Coturnix japonica: one gene and its partner. The protein of the gene in region 2 binds, or shares a complex with, the protein of the main gene of each other region. Links are inferred from orthologs where the notes say so. Each region holds a gene or a part of one and is shown on either strand. Other genes may lie near its edges.

Region 1 (6,366 bases), on a different chromosome or scaffold from region 2:
GGCAATGTCCCTGGGAAGAGGAGCAGGTCAGCATACCTTGGGGCCACTTTGTTGGCTGTATACAAGCACCCTTCAAGTGGTGGATATGAAATCCTGTTTGTTTCTGCCACCTGTGGCTGCTTTCTGGAAGTCTTTAGTGGCCTGTGTTCCTTCTTTCACTGGTGCTATTTGCGTGGTGTCATGGAATGTACATGATATTGCTGAAAGCAGGAGCTGCCTGCACCTTCTCTGGGCTGCTCGGTGTTTGCAGAGCTGACTGAAGCATATTCACTTCTCCCTCTGTTTCTCAGGAACTCTTTGCGGAATTTGGGACCTTGAAGAAGGCAGCAGTGCACTACGACAGATCCGGACGCAGTCTAGGAACAGCAGATGTGCATTTTGAAAGGAAAGCAGATGCTCTGAAAGCTATGAAGCAGTACAATGGAGTCCCCTTGGATGGTGAGTCTCTGTGGCTGTCGTGTGCTTCTCTGCACGGCTGATGGCATCTGTGTGCCTGCCACACTCACAGGGTAACTGGCTGCTTTTCCTGCAGGGCGCCCCATGAACATTCAGCTGGTTACATCACAGATAGATACACAGAGGAGACCAGCACAGAGGTGAGAAGCCGCGGGAGTCGCTGTGCCAGTCAGCACGGGGAGTGAACTGGCCTGTGTAGGAAGCATGGAATCCTCCTCGTGTCCTGCAACCTTCTGAGTGCCTGTTGGGGTTAACCAGAATGCACTATAACAGTTGCTTTTTAAAAATCACAGTGTAAACAGAGGTGGAATGACCAGAAACCGTGGTGGTACAGGAGGATTTGGTGGTGGAGGTACCAGGCGAGGTAGTCGTGGTGGGAGCAGAGGGAGAGGCAGAGGGGCTGGAAGAACTTCCAAACAGCAGCTCTCTGCAGAAGAACTAGATGCACAGCTGGATGCTTACAATGCCAGGGTAAGTGCTGCTCACATGATGGTCACGGGTACCTACAGCGTCCTTTTGATAAACACTGGCAGCTGGCTGGAAAGAGAAATTGTTTTTCAGGTCATTTGACTTAAATAGCCTCCCTCTAAAGCTGAGCATTGCCCTGTTCCTTCAGCTGCCTTAGCTCTCCACATCTACTGTTACTCATGAGTAATAAATAGCCCCTTTTCCAACTTCTCCTGGCTTGTTGAAGCCTGTGTCAACCAGAATTGGCAGTAATCAAGATGTGTGATGAACGAAAGCTATGAACCAAAGCCCAAAGGGATAATAGGCTGGAAAAATGAAAAGCAAAAAGAAAAAACACATAAAATAACCAGCTTGGTGCTAAGAAAGGAAAAAAAGTCAATGATGCTGATCACCCCTAATGCAGGTGGATGAGCAGAGCAGTGCACATGGTTTCTTTCATTCAGAATGAGCTCAGATATTGTGCCACAACAAGACTAAAGTCTTAACTGAGAATCAGTTAAGAAGTGATGCAGGGACTTGGCCCAAGCACTGAGGTGCAGTTTAGGTCTGCTCAGTGTGTGCTGTGGATTGGGCTGCATCTCCGCCATTGAGGCAGCAGCATCCTGGGGTTGGCAGGCAGGGCTGGGGGGTGTCAGGGTTGGGGATGGAGCTGGGGGGTTGTGGGGCCATGGTGGGTTGTGGGGTCATGGTGGGTTATGGGGCCGTGGTGGGTTATGGGGCCATGGTGGGTTATGGGGTCATGGTGGCTGCTGACGCTCCTCTCTGTTCTCTTCCAGATGGACACCAGCTAAAGCGTTGAGCGGCGCATGGAAGGACTGCAGACATCTCATTCCATGCTGTGTGGCGGGAGGGGTGTGCGACTGTGGCTACTAATATCAAGGATGGGATTTGTTTTACTTTTATGTTTTGGAATAGGTTTTAAACTCATGTAAAGGTTTTTTTTAATTCTGAAGCCAGACCCGTTTTGTACCGAGTTATTTTTGGGATAAATTTTACTGGTTGCCTGTTGGGCCGAGGTGGCTTTTTCACCTTTGCCGTAATAAAATAGAACCGTGTCTAGAGCTCCGCCTGCTCCCTGCCGCGCGCTCCTTTCCCGCGCCCGCGCTGCGCGGCGAACGCGCGCGTACTCCCTGAGCCAATCAGAACGCAGCGTCGAGGCAGGAAGTGAGGAGCGGGACACGCCCTCGTATAACGGGAAGTGACGGGCGTGTCCCGGAAGTGCGGGGGTGCGCGGGCGGCTGGGCGGATCCCGGCGGCGTTGGACCGCGGCGCGGACGGTGAGAGCGGCCGGGACGGCGGGACCGGGCGGGGCGGGGCCAAGGGAGCGGGGCGGGGGGCGCCGGGATCCGCCATGTGCGCTGCGGCCGGGCCGGGTCCCGCGGGCTCAGCGCCACGCCAGGGTCCGGGGCGCGGCCGAGGGGGCAGCGGGCGCCGTCCGGGTGCGCGGCGGGGAGCGGAGCGAAGAGCGGCGCCTTCGTGCCTTGAGGCCGCCCCGGCCGCCGCTGTCGGACCGGAGCCGGGTGGGGACCCGCTGGCTTCAAATAGATTCTCCATAAATGGTTTCGAGCTTTGAAAGGAGGAACTTGAAGGCGACTTCCCCACGGTTGGGTTCGTTTGGCGTTAGAGCCGAGACGTCGGTGCAGCACCGGGTGCAGGATGGAGGATGGAGCGGCAGTGAGCGCTGTCCGGGCTGCGGGGCCTCATGGCCGTGCCGGAAGGATGGTGCCGTTTCCCTGCCTGGGCGGGCGCGTTGCGTGAAGCCGTGACTTCCTTCTCTTAAAGAGCTCTCGGTTGTAGCACTCAATTATCGCTGTGAGAGCTTCAGGTCCCGGCCGTAGTGCTCTATATAGTGCTCTATGGGCTCGGTTCTCTTGCAGTGGTCCCGTTCTTGTCCCAGAGATGCTGAGTGGCGGCCGCTTCCACGTGGTGCCCAGGAGACATTTGCAGCTCCTGCAGTGTGGTCGTGCTGTAGCTCTGCAGTCGTTGTACTTACAGGTGCATAGTGCTCACCGTGCAGCTTGTTTGAGTACGAGGCTGCAAGGGCTTCTTAAATCCGATAAGCAGTGGGAGCTGTCTGCTCGTTCTCGGGTGATGCTCGTGGCAGGTGATACCTGCAGGTGTTGTGCAGTGCAGGGCAGTGTCACCAGCACGGTGCACAACTGCGGATCTGGCTGCAGAGCACCTGGCAGCAGCTGCTGTGCGACCCACAGCTCCTCCCCACGCCTGGAGCTGTGACAGGGATCAGCCTTAGGGCAAGGCGGGAGATCTCCATGCTCATAAAGCAGCTCAGCAATGCTGTGGGAGCACCCAGCGCTGTGCTCCTGAGGCTAAACCTGCCTGCAGGCAGCACTGGGGGGGGGTCACTGCTCTGCTGCTGCCACGCAATTAGACCTGGCTCTGGGCAAGCTCACGTCTGGCCCCTCGAGCTGCCATCATACGGGGTGTCTGTGCTGCTTGAACTGGTTTTAGCAGCTCTTGCTTCCTGTTTCTGCAGCACAGCAGCTTATGCAGCCCTGAGATGAACCAGGGTGGTTGAACCGACCTGTGTGGGAAGTAACCTTGCAGAAAGCCACATTGGATTCCAAGTGGCTTTGCTGTGCAGCTTCATCAGCTTTCCCTTGTGCTGCAGCGAAAAAAGGAAGGGTGTGGACTGCTTGAATTGGCGCTGTGTGTGTCCGTGGCTGAGCTGAGGCCTGACGGATGTCCGAAGCCAATTAGGTCATCTGTAAAGACTCTGACCACTCTTATGTCACTGCACAAGTACCTTGGGATCGTGGCCCTGGCATGTAAAGAAATCACTGCTCATCCCTGCCTGATAACGGTGTTCTTTTCCTAGCAGTGTTTCTATCTGGCAGAAGGTGGGGCTCGTGTGTTCACTGCTGTTCGCTCCTTGGTATCGAACTAAAAATACTGAGAGAACTCAGGAGAAACTGCTGACTTCAGGAAGCGGCGCAGGCAGCTGAGTGCAGATCTGCAGATGGGAAATAATTTGGTTTCTGCTGCTTTCTGCAGGCCCCAGTAACCAGCAGAGCTTCCATTTCCAGACATTCTGGGACATCCCTGAGGCCGCAGTGCTCTCCTGTGGTTGAGTGCAGGGTGGCACAGAGGCAGCAGCTGCACTGTTCTGTGAGCCAGGTGTGTCTGCAGTCAGAGCCATGGGCTCGGGCGGTGCCGCACAGGGTGTGCAGGTGCCTTCCGGGTTTCAAAGTTGCTGAGGGGGAATTCCTTGCAGAGGCCTTGGGGTGGTGCCTGGGTGTGAGGCTCAGGGCTGAAGGTGCCATTGCTGCTGGAGGTTGGTGTTCTGGGAGGTTTCAGTCACGAGGCTGAGCCCTCTGAAGGGGTTGTGGCCTCAGGTCCCCGTTCCTCTGCCCCCACCTCTGCAGCAGCATGTGCTGGAGCCATGATCCTACAGGACGTTGGGCATGGCATGAGATGGATGCCCGACCCAGTGTTCCAGTGTGTTGAGTCCCTCAGCTCTGCTCTGCCTAGCAGTACGACAGCTCCTCCTGCATGCACCCGACCAGCTCTGTTCTACTCATTCTAGGCTGTAGGAAATGCATTGTTATAGAAGCACGGAGCAGCCTGATGCTGCTGGGAGCCTCCTTTCTCCCTGGCAGAATACTCAGGGCAGCAGCTGAGCACTGTGATGTGAGGCTGCACAATGCTGTGTGCTGGGAGCAGGGTCAGCCGGGCGCAGTGGGAGCACGATGCCATCAGAACACTGCAGCAGAGGGGCTGTGGTGCAGCCAGCTCCATGAGGCTCCTCCAGGCCTCGCTGCACATTTTTCCTGTGCTTCCTTGCAGAGCTGAGACCCAGCCTGTCTTGAGCTGCTGTTTGGAACATTGCTTGCTGTTTCTGGTAACTTTGGGTCAGTTTGAAGAGCCACTTTTCACCCATGGACTTCCATGGGGTGCTCGTGGGGGAGGGAGGGGAGGGGTGAAGTCTGGCTTGGAGCTGAAACTGAGGGCAAAATGAGATTAAGCACTGGAACAAATGCTTGAGTGAGTGTTTGTTGAACACTTTTGGGAGCCTTCAAGCCTGGAAGCTTTCTTGGATGGGAGCCTAAAGGAAATGACTGGTTTCGATATGGATTTTCTAGGGTGAGAGCTACTCGGTTGCTCATGTATGGCATAAGATTTGAATGTAAATTTCCATGGCAATCAGTGCCAGGGACCTGGAGAATCCCTTTCTGCTGGTAGAGCTCAGTCAGGTTTTGATGCCCGCTGCAAGTACCCTTTGTGCACCCATGTTGGTGCCCCAGCCTCCCTGGGAGGTGCTGCCAGCCCAGGGCAGCTCAGATTTGCTCTTGTGTTTGGCTGGGGGTTCACCCACACGGGATCTGACAGCACCTCATCTCAGTGCCAGCATTGAGCTACAGCCCTGGTGCTGTGCTGGAGGCCGCTCTCATACCCTGGATCAGCCATAGTCATCAGGCAGAGATGTGCAACATATCACTCTAATTTGTCTCCTTGGCAGAACATTCCTAATATTTATGGCTAAAAACACCATCTACACATACCTCTGCTGTTGTGCTCTTGCAGCTGTCGCCAGGCTCAAGATGGAGGCAGACACAACTTGTCTTGTGTCACTGCACAATGTGCTCTGTGAGCTGTGTGTGCTCAGTGCCAGCGCTCAGGTTTTTCTCTCCCTGTCTGGGTGACACATTGGGTAGGAATGAAGTCGTTGAGTTAAGGGCTGTTATGTCAGCTAGTTCCAAGAGGAGAAGAGCAAATAGCAGTTGGCTTACGTAGCATAGCCTGTGCTGCAGACTTTGGGTTTTCCTTTACAAGTCAGCATTTCTGGATGTATCCTGGTCTTCTGTGGGGGCACGTGGAGATCAGAATTAAGATCATAGTGTTGATTTATTTGGAAACTGGATGGCAGAGCAAAGAATGCAGTTTTCCAGTCTGAGTCATGTGTGCTGATACACGACTCCAGACAGGAATGCAGAATGGGACGTGGAAATGCCAGGTAATAACGGGAATACCTGCATCCATCTGCACGTCATTTGTGGAGGATTTTGTCTGAGAAGCCTTTCAAAAGTTGTCAGCTGAGTGTTTTTAAGCCCTCAGAGCAGTCCAAGCTGATGTTTGCTGTAGGATCACCCGTAGGGCAGCACTCCTTGTGATGCATCAGGAATTACTGACACTTTTTCCTGGTGTTTTGATGGCTGTTGGACCAGCTCTCAGCTGGGTGTTTCCTGGTTACACTGTGCTCTGGGGCTTACAAAGCAGTGCCAATCTACACACCGGTCTTCAACCCATGTGTTTGCCCAGCTCTGTGACACATATCTTTGGAAAGGATCAGGATGAGGTCAGCTGAGCCAGGTGTCTCCTTCCATTGTAGATTCTGATTGAATTACAAACTGTGAGCTCCAGATTGCAGCTGAGGCTTCTGGCATTTGGGCCAGCGGTGGGGCTGGGCCTGTTCTTCTCCTCACC
Region 2 (6,366 bases):
TATTTGTCCCCAGGTCTTCAAAGAGCTTGCAGCAGTAAATTTGCAGGGTAGATCGTTTTCTGCCTATCATGGCATTGTTTAAGCAGTAATAGCTGGACCACTTCATCTGCAAGCATTTAACCAGCTCTGCACAAAGCTCCGACCGACATTTATGAAGCATTTGACATAGGCAATGTGCCTGGAGTCGGCCAGCAGAAAGCTCCCTGCCTCTCTTGGGGACTCATGATTTGCTTCTCTCCCCTCCGACTTGCTTTTGTTTCGCAGCCTTTACAAGGTAAAAGTAGCAATAGTACAGGTGGCTCCTGTGATATGGCTGGGTTGGAGAGCAGCATGAAGAGAGGAAAATTTGGGAGGCAATTGCTAGCAAGGAGCTATTAATGCAATGGAGGAACTGGAAGGGGATCTGCAATAATGCCTAGCACCATTGGGTCCCCAAACAGGGAGAGCTGCTGGGATTTGCTGGGCAGGCTTTGGGGAACTGTTGGAAACAGTGCTGAGGTTTGAGGCTCTGTGCATTGGGAAGATGGAACTGAATGGCACGAAATGCATCTACACAACAGATGTCCATAGGGTGGATTCAGGTGTTCCCCAAAAGCCCCATATATCACTACTCACTGTCCAGGCAGGGCTCACAGACGGTCTGGTTGACCCCACAGGGCTGCACCACGCCCTCACCCAGGTTGCAGGCTTTGCAGCATTCACCGCTCGTCGTGTACATCTTGGTCAAGCACTTTTCCTTGGAGCCCCAGGTGGGTCCCTGGGAGAGAAAACAGCCCAGAGGTGACTCTTGTTATGGGAATTGCAACGATGGGCTGACAGAGATGCTGTATCCAGGGATGGTTTTGCTGCAGGGTGGATACTCAATGTCTGGGCTAAAGGGGGGCTGTGTGTTAGGTATAGGACCTGGGAGAAAGGGGAGATAAATGACTTTCCTATGCAAAGCTTGTTCATTTGCAAAGCTTCTACCAAATGCTACTGATCAAGGGAGGCAATGACAGCCCTTGGTCTGGGTTTGTGGGTCTTAGGGGGATGCTGGCTTTTCTGTAGGCTTACAGCATTATGTCCCCATCACAGGAGCTGTTCCCTCTACTGATGCTGTGCTGTTCTGAGCAACTCAGCCCTCCGTTGCTTGCAAAAAGCTGCCAGCCCCAGTGAAGGGTTCAGAGGGCTGAGGTCCCAATTCTGCACTGGGATCAGAAATCAGACCCCTCAGTGGAAATGAAGACTTTGACAGGAGCACAGAGAGCTTCAGCTGTCTGACAGGAGTAAGTGTACTAACTTATAAAACCTGTCATCACATATGGAAGCAATAAATATGCCATGAGCAGTGCGGTTAGAACCTCTGCGCATCCACTTTGTAGCTTAGGGAGAAGCGATGGCCATTCCCCAGTGCACTCCTTGGCCAGGGGTGATGTGTGGGGCTGGCTTTGCTCCTCCTGCTTACAGTCTGGAGGGTCCCAAAGTTCCTGGTGTGGCAGCTGGGATGAGTTTGTAAGGAAAGAGGATGGGGCAGATGGTGTCGGGACAGATGGTGCTGTTGGGCTGCTGAATGAGGCAGTGAGGAGGCAGAGCAGTGCTCAGAACTGGGGCCACCCGAAGGGACAGCAACAGCAGCAGCTGTGACCATCCAGGGTCAGTGTGTGCTCACACTCGGGTCCACTGTACTCGATGGGAAGGCTGCTGTCGGGGATGGGCTCCTTTCGGGGGGGGGAACCGTCCCTTTGCCACCAAGTTAAGGCTGATTTTGGAGGGGAAGAAACTCTCCAGGAGGCGGAGGAGCTCCACGTCCCCGTTCATCTGGCCGCCTCGTCAGCCCCTTTGGCCGCCGCTCTGCACAATGCGGTGTTATGAACTCATAGGCGCATCAACCGGCATCAGCCGGCCCGGCCAGAGAGACAATGGAGCGCCAATTATAGGCATCTGAATGACAAAGTGCTCCAATTACCCTTCTCTTGGAAGCGTGCGTTCTCCTTCTGCGCTGCTTTGCCAGCCCGTGTTGGCACCCAGCCCCAGCTACACGGGTGGGATGCTTGGCACGGAGGGACCCTCCCAACACCCCCCAAATGGAAACACCCCCTTGGAAATAGGAGTGGGGGGGAGCAAAGGGCTCTCTTTGCAACAGGGACGGCTCCAGGCAGCAGCGATGCGCGTGGCAGAGTGGGGCTGGAGCTCTCCATGCTGCTTCCTTTTCCCCAGCACCTGCAGCATGTTCTCCTGCTCGGGAGGGTTTGGGGAAGAGGGGAGCATCTGAACTTGGCTATAAATAGTGTTGGGAAGGCCGGAGCGGTGCAGCTGGGGCCGCAGCAGCCAGCTCTCCCACGCCGCCCGCGCCTGAGGCAGCTGCGAAGCAAAACCCACAGGGACAGAACCCGGTTACGCTGTTTCCTCTGTGCCAAACCGGACCCCCCCCCCCCGACCTCCCCTAGTTGTCCAACACTCCACGGTCCCCTCCCCGTAGGGTTGTCCTACCCTCCGTGTTTCTAAATGATGCGGAAAACGCACCTTCCAGCCCCAGATGCTGCACCCCCCCACCCCTCACCCCCCAAACCTCCCCGCCTACGTTTCCCTTTCTACATCTCAAGCGCTGAAACATCCATAAAGATTAACACGCTTATAAGAGGGGCACATGGTCTGCATTAGCCCGCTGAAATGTGCATGTTATTAACACAACTCCCGTTGACAAAGCCACAGGTATTAACACCATAAAGCATTTTGACAGCTGGACTGGGGTTGGGGAGGGGGGAGGAGAGGGGAGGGCACGGGGGGAAGCGCTGAGGGTGCGAGCAACACCTTTGAAAGCTTTTAATTGCTTTTGGAGTCGTTTTGGTGTTCCCTTGCCCTACAGGGGGTGGCCTTGGAGGAAGATGTGCGCAGCTCAGCACCATCATCACCCAAACACTGGCACGGAAAGCTGAGCTGCTCTGAAACGGGGAACGGCAGCAATGCTTCAGCTGGAGACGGGCCCAGCGGCAAGCCTGGATCCGAACGGCCCGCAAGGCTGACAGACGGGTTCTGTGTATTTTGGCGGAGCAACCTGTCTAGAAAAGGCTGAAGATCCGCATCCCAGCACTCCCCAAACTTTGGGCAGTGGGAGAGTCACGTCTGAGCCGTGTGGGTCCCACAGGGCTCTGCCTCCTCCCCTGACCCAGCTCTAGTCTGAGCAGTGCAGGTAAGGAGCTGTGGCAATGGGGTGCTGGGGATACAGCCCACAGCTGCGAGTGCACATTTGGACCTGCCCCGCTTGGGGCTCAGAGGAACAGCAGGTTTCCAACTACCCCAGATCTCTATGGGGCTGGATGGGCTTGGCAGGTGCAACCCTAAGGGCAGCCCAGACCTGTGGGGTTAGCTGTGGGAAATGGGGGACACCAAACCCAACTTGGAGCCATGAGCCACCCACACCATTCTCCCCCTCAGTCTCTACATGAGCCTGCTGAAGCAGCAGCTTTAATGCCCTACCCTACAGCGTCCTGCTGCCCACTGAGCCCTCTGGGACCCCACACATCCTCCAGCAGCAAAAGCCCCATTTCTGCCCCAGGTGGCTCAGTGCGTCCCCTTATCCCCTTTTCTGGGACTCTCCTTCTTCCCTGGTTTCCCTTGCTCTGAAGTTTTGTCTCCAGCGCAGGCTGAGGCTGTGCCCATCCCTGGGGCTTTGCCCTTCGTGCTGGGCAGTGAGTTTGGAGCCAGGAAGGGAAGGTCTGTGGGAGTCTTTGAAGGTGTGGGGTTCAGGAGGTGGGGGCACAGAGGTGGGGCTGCTTTATTCCCATAACCTCCTATGGAGAAAAGGGAAGGCAGAGCTCAGCTCGGTGTCAGCGGAACATGAGGGGCTGAGCGAGAAATCCCTACGGTGTTCCCCCCACCACTCACATCACCACTCCTCTCCCTATGCACCCAAACCTTCTGGGACCCTCCATCCCCATACAATTGACACTCCCACTCCCGATACCCCCGGGACCCTCCGAGCAGAACCCCACAGTCCCATGGTACCCCTCCATCCCAGCAGGACCGGGACAGTCCGTGCTGTCCATGCCCATTCCCCTCTGTGTCCGGACCCCCCCCGGCTTAGCCCTCAGCCCCTCACTCACCGTCGGCAGCAGGAGCAGCAGCAGCGGTACGAACCCGGCCATGGTGCTCCGGGGCCACCTCGCATCCCCCGGGCTGCCCTCCCTCTGCCGCCCGCCGTCTCGGCAGCACCAGAAAAGGGCTGCAAGTCCCTCCTCCTCCTCCTCTCCGCCCCCGGAGCATCACGGCGAGCAGCCGAGCCAGCACCCTCCTCTGTCGGCACACAAAGCCCGGACCCCTCCCCAGCACCCACCGCCCACCCACGAAACGTTTTCGGGTGTGTTTGGTCTCAATCCAGCCGACCCCTCCACCCTCCAATGATTCTCGTCCGTCTGTCCCCACACACTCTTCCCTGTCGTCTGTCTGTCTGCCTGTCCGTCTCTCACACACCCACGTCCATCCATCTCCGCACACCTCGCTCCAGCCCTTCACCAGCACGGTCCTCATGATGGGTGAGCAAATGGGTTCGTTAATTATAAGAACAGAGCGAGGCTCCAGGCTGTAGCTGGGATGGGGTGACCAGATCCCCTCTGGCTGCACAGCCAAGAGACAGCATCCCACAGGTAACATCCCCAGGACTCAAACTCAAACTCAGCATTGTCACAGCAATCCCGGTGACAAAGAGAATTTCCCTTTGTCACCGCAGGAGAGGCTGCAGTGCACAAAGCCACCTGCTCCTGTTTGTATTTCCACCCGCAGGTGTAAAATAGCACATTGACATCCTTCCTGTCCTACAGCCCCAACGTGTGCTGCTCCCCAGTGCTTCCACTCCATCACAGAGCTGCTCTGTCCCCATCCTGCCCAGCCCCAGCCCCGTGGTTGTGAACTCAAGCTGCGTGTCAGGGAGCGGAGCTGGAAATGTCATGGCCTTTCCCCAGCTCAGTTTGGCTCCTGCCTTGGTGTGTCAGCACCAAAAACGCTCTTTGTGAGGTTTGTTGGAAAAAATATGCAGCGAGTTTTGTGTGGCTTTGGTGAGAAGGTTTGCTGGAGGCTGCCCAGAAATGCTGGCGCCGGGGTTGGGAGGGATGAAGGATTCCTTCGCCCCCTGCTTACGTCACTCTGCCCCCAGTGCTTTCACCTAGCATAGGATGGAGCAGTGGTGTCTGTGGGTCTGTCTCTGTCACCCTGCTGCTGTCCATCTCTCAGCTTTACTGTGTTGGGATCACGATGTTGTCCTGTTGGCAGACACAAGCTGGATTCCTTCCTGAGCAGCGAGCTCCTAACCTTAATGACTCTATGAGTATATGATCTGTGATGCTTGTATGGCTGGCAGCTCCTGTGGGCGGCTTTGAGGAAAGTCCCTCTTTAAATAAGATTAACCCAAAGCCAAAGCTGCTGTTTGTTCTCCAATGAGGCAGCGTGGGAACACATGTGAGCCACATGGTGATGGGTTCAGGGCCAGGTGGGGACAGGGCAGCGTGCACAGAGACTGGATGTGGGGATGGGATGGGATGGGATGGGATGGGATGGGATGGGATGGGATGGGATGGCTGCCACCCACCATGAGCCAATCATCCCTCACCCTTTTCAGTGCTTGGATGATTGGCAATGGGGCAAAGCTGCTTGTGGACATCTGGCAGAGCTGGACACAGCTGAGGGAGCAGCTTGGGTCTTATGACACCAATTGCCTTTGCTGGTCTGCTGCAATGAGCAAGGAGGGGGGGGAAGCTGAGCTGCTGCCATGGGCCCATTTCATCCATCCCTCCACCCCAGGATGTGGCCTTTCCCTGTGGGATGCACCTCCAGGCTGCAACACTCCCCTGGAGAAGGATGTGAAAGAGCAACTCCCCCAAGCCCCAGTGCAGAGCTCGGGTGTTTTATGATGCTCTGACACCACCACGAGTGTCACCCCAAGAACAACCTCACCGCAGTGACGCAAAGCAGAGACGGACGGACAGAGACGGCCGCTCAGATGGGCTGCATCTGCACGGGGCTGGGCAGGCAGCCAGCACAAGTAAGTGGAAACTGCTGCTCCATCCCAACCCGCGTGGCTCCTTTGGTGAAGGCACTCCTTGTGCTTTACATTTACCCCCACCTCATGCTTTTTTTTTCCTCTCCCAGAAAGGTTGTGGCCCTTTCCTGGCTCTGTGCAATGACAAAATGCCTCTTAAAAGTCAGCTGTCACCTCTCAGAATTAAAACCAAAAGCTCTGGGCTTGCATTTGCTCAGGGAGCATCCTCAGGGCTGCTGGCAGAGCACAGCACTGCCTGCAACCCTGCAACTCCCAACCCCAACCATGAGGTCTCCCCACACTCAACCAGCTCCATGTGCCACAGCACGGCCAGCCATGCCAAGGGGCAACTCCTG

What was found. The genes of interacting proteins can lie anywhere in the genome.
Region 1: the proteins of NGFR (region 2) and ARHGDIA are in contact, whole or in part, in an NMR structure (PDB 8X8T), measured with the Homo sapiens proteins. The link is inferred for Coturnix japonica from reciprocal best matches to the Homo sapiens genes NGFR and ARHGDIA. Residues at the interface, in NP_002498.1 of Homo sapiens: Arg274, Trp275, Ser277, Cys278, Lys279, Gln280, Lys282, Gln283, Gly284, Ala285, Ser287, Arg288, Pro289, Val290, Asn291, Gln292, Thr293, Pro294, Pro295, Pro296, Glu299, Lys300, Leu301, Ile307, Ser308, Val309, Gln312, Ser313, Asp316, Gln317; in NP_001172006.1 of Homo sapiens: Ala8, Glu9, Leu11, Ala12, Gln13, Ile14, Ala15, Ala16, Glu17, Asn18, Glu19, Glu20, Asp21, Glu22, Val25, Pro30, Ala31, Gln32, Lys33, Ile35, Gln36, Glu37, Ile38, Gln39, Glu40, Leu41, Asp42, Lys43, Asp44, Asp45.

What each region holds. Positions count from the first base shown.
Region 1 is NC_029533.1:4,449,242-4,455,607, forward strand, and holds the start of ARHGDIA (rho GDP-dissociation inhibitor 1), read left to right. Parts: upstream 1-2,083; 5' UTR 2,084-2,201; intron 2,202-6,366. Other genes in the region: ALYREF (THO complex subunit 4), read left to right, coding at 291-438, 533-596, 750-927, 1,701-1,715. UniProt on the Homo sapiens protein: Controls Rho proteins homeostasis. Regulates the GDP/GTP exchange reaction of the Rho proteins by inhibiting the dissociation of GDP from them, and the subsequent binding of GTP to them.
Region 2 is NC_029542.1:2,820,843-2,827,208, forward strand, and holds the start of NGFR (tumor necrosis factor receptor superfamily member 16), read right to left. Parts: upstream 4,181-6,366; 5' UTR 4,125-4,180; coding exon 4,083-4,124; exon of another isoform or gene 2,846-4,082; intron 1,266-2,845; exon of another isoform or gene 1,075-1,265; intron 758-1,074; coding exon 616-757; intron 1-615. UniProt on the Homo sapiens protein: Low affinity receptor which can bind to NGF, BDNF, NTF3, and NTF4. Forms a heterodimeric receptor with SORCS2 that binds the precursor forms of NGF, BDNF and NTF3 with high affinity, and has much lower affinity for mature NGF and BDNF.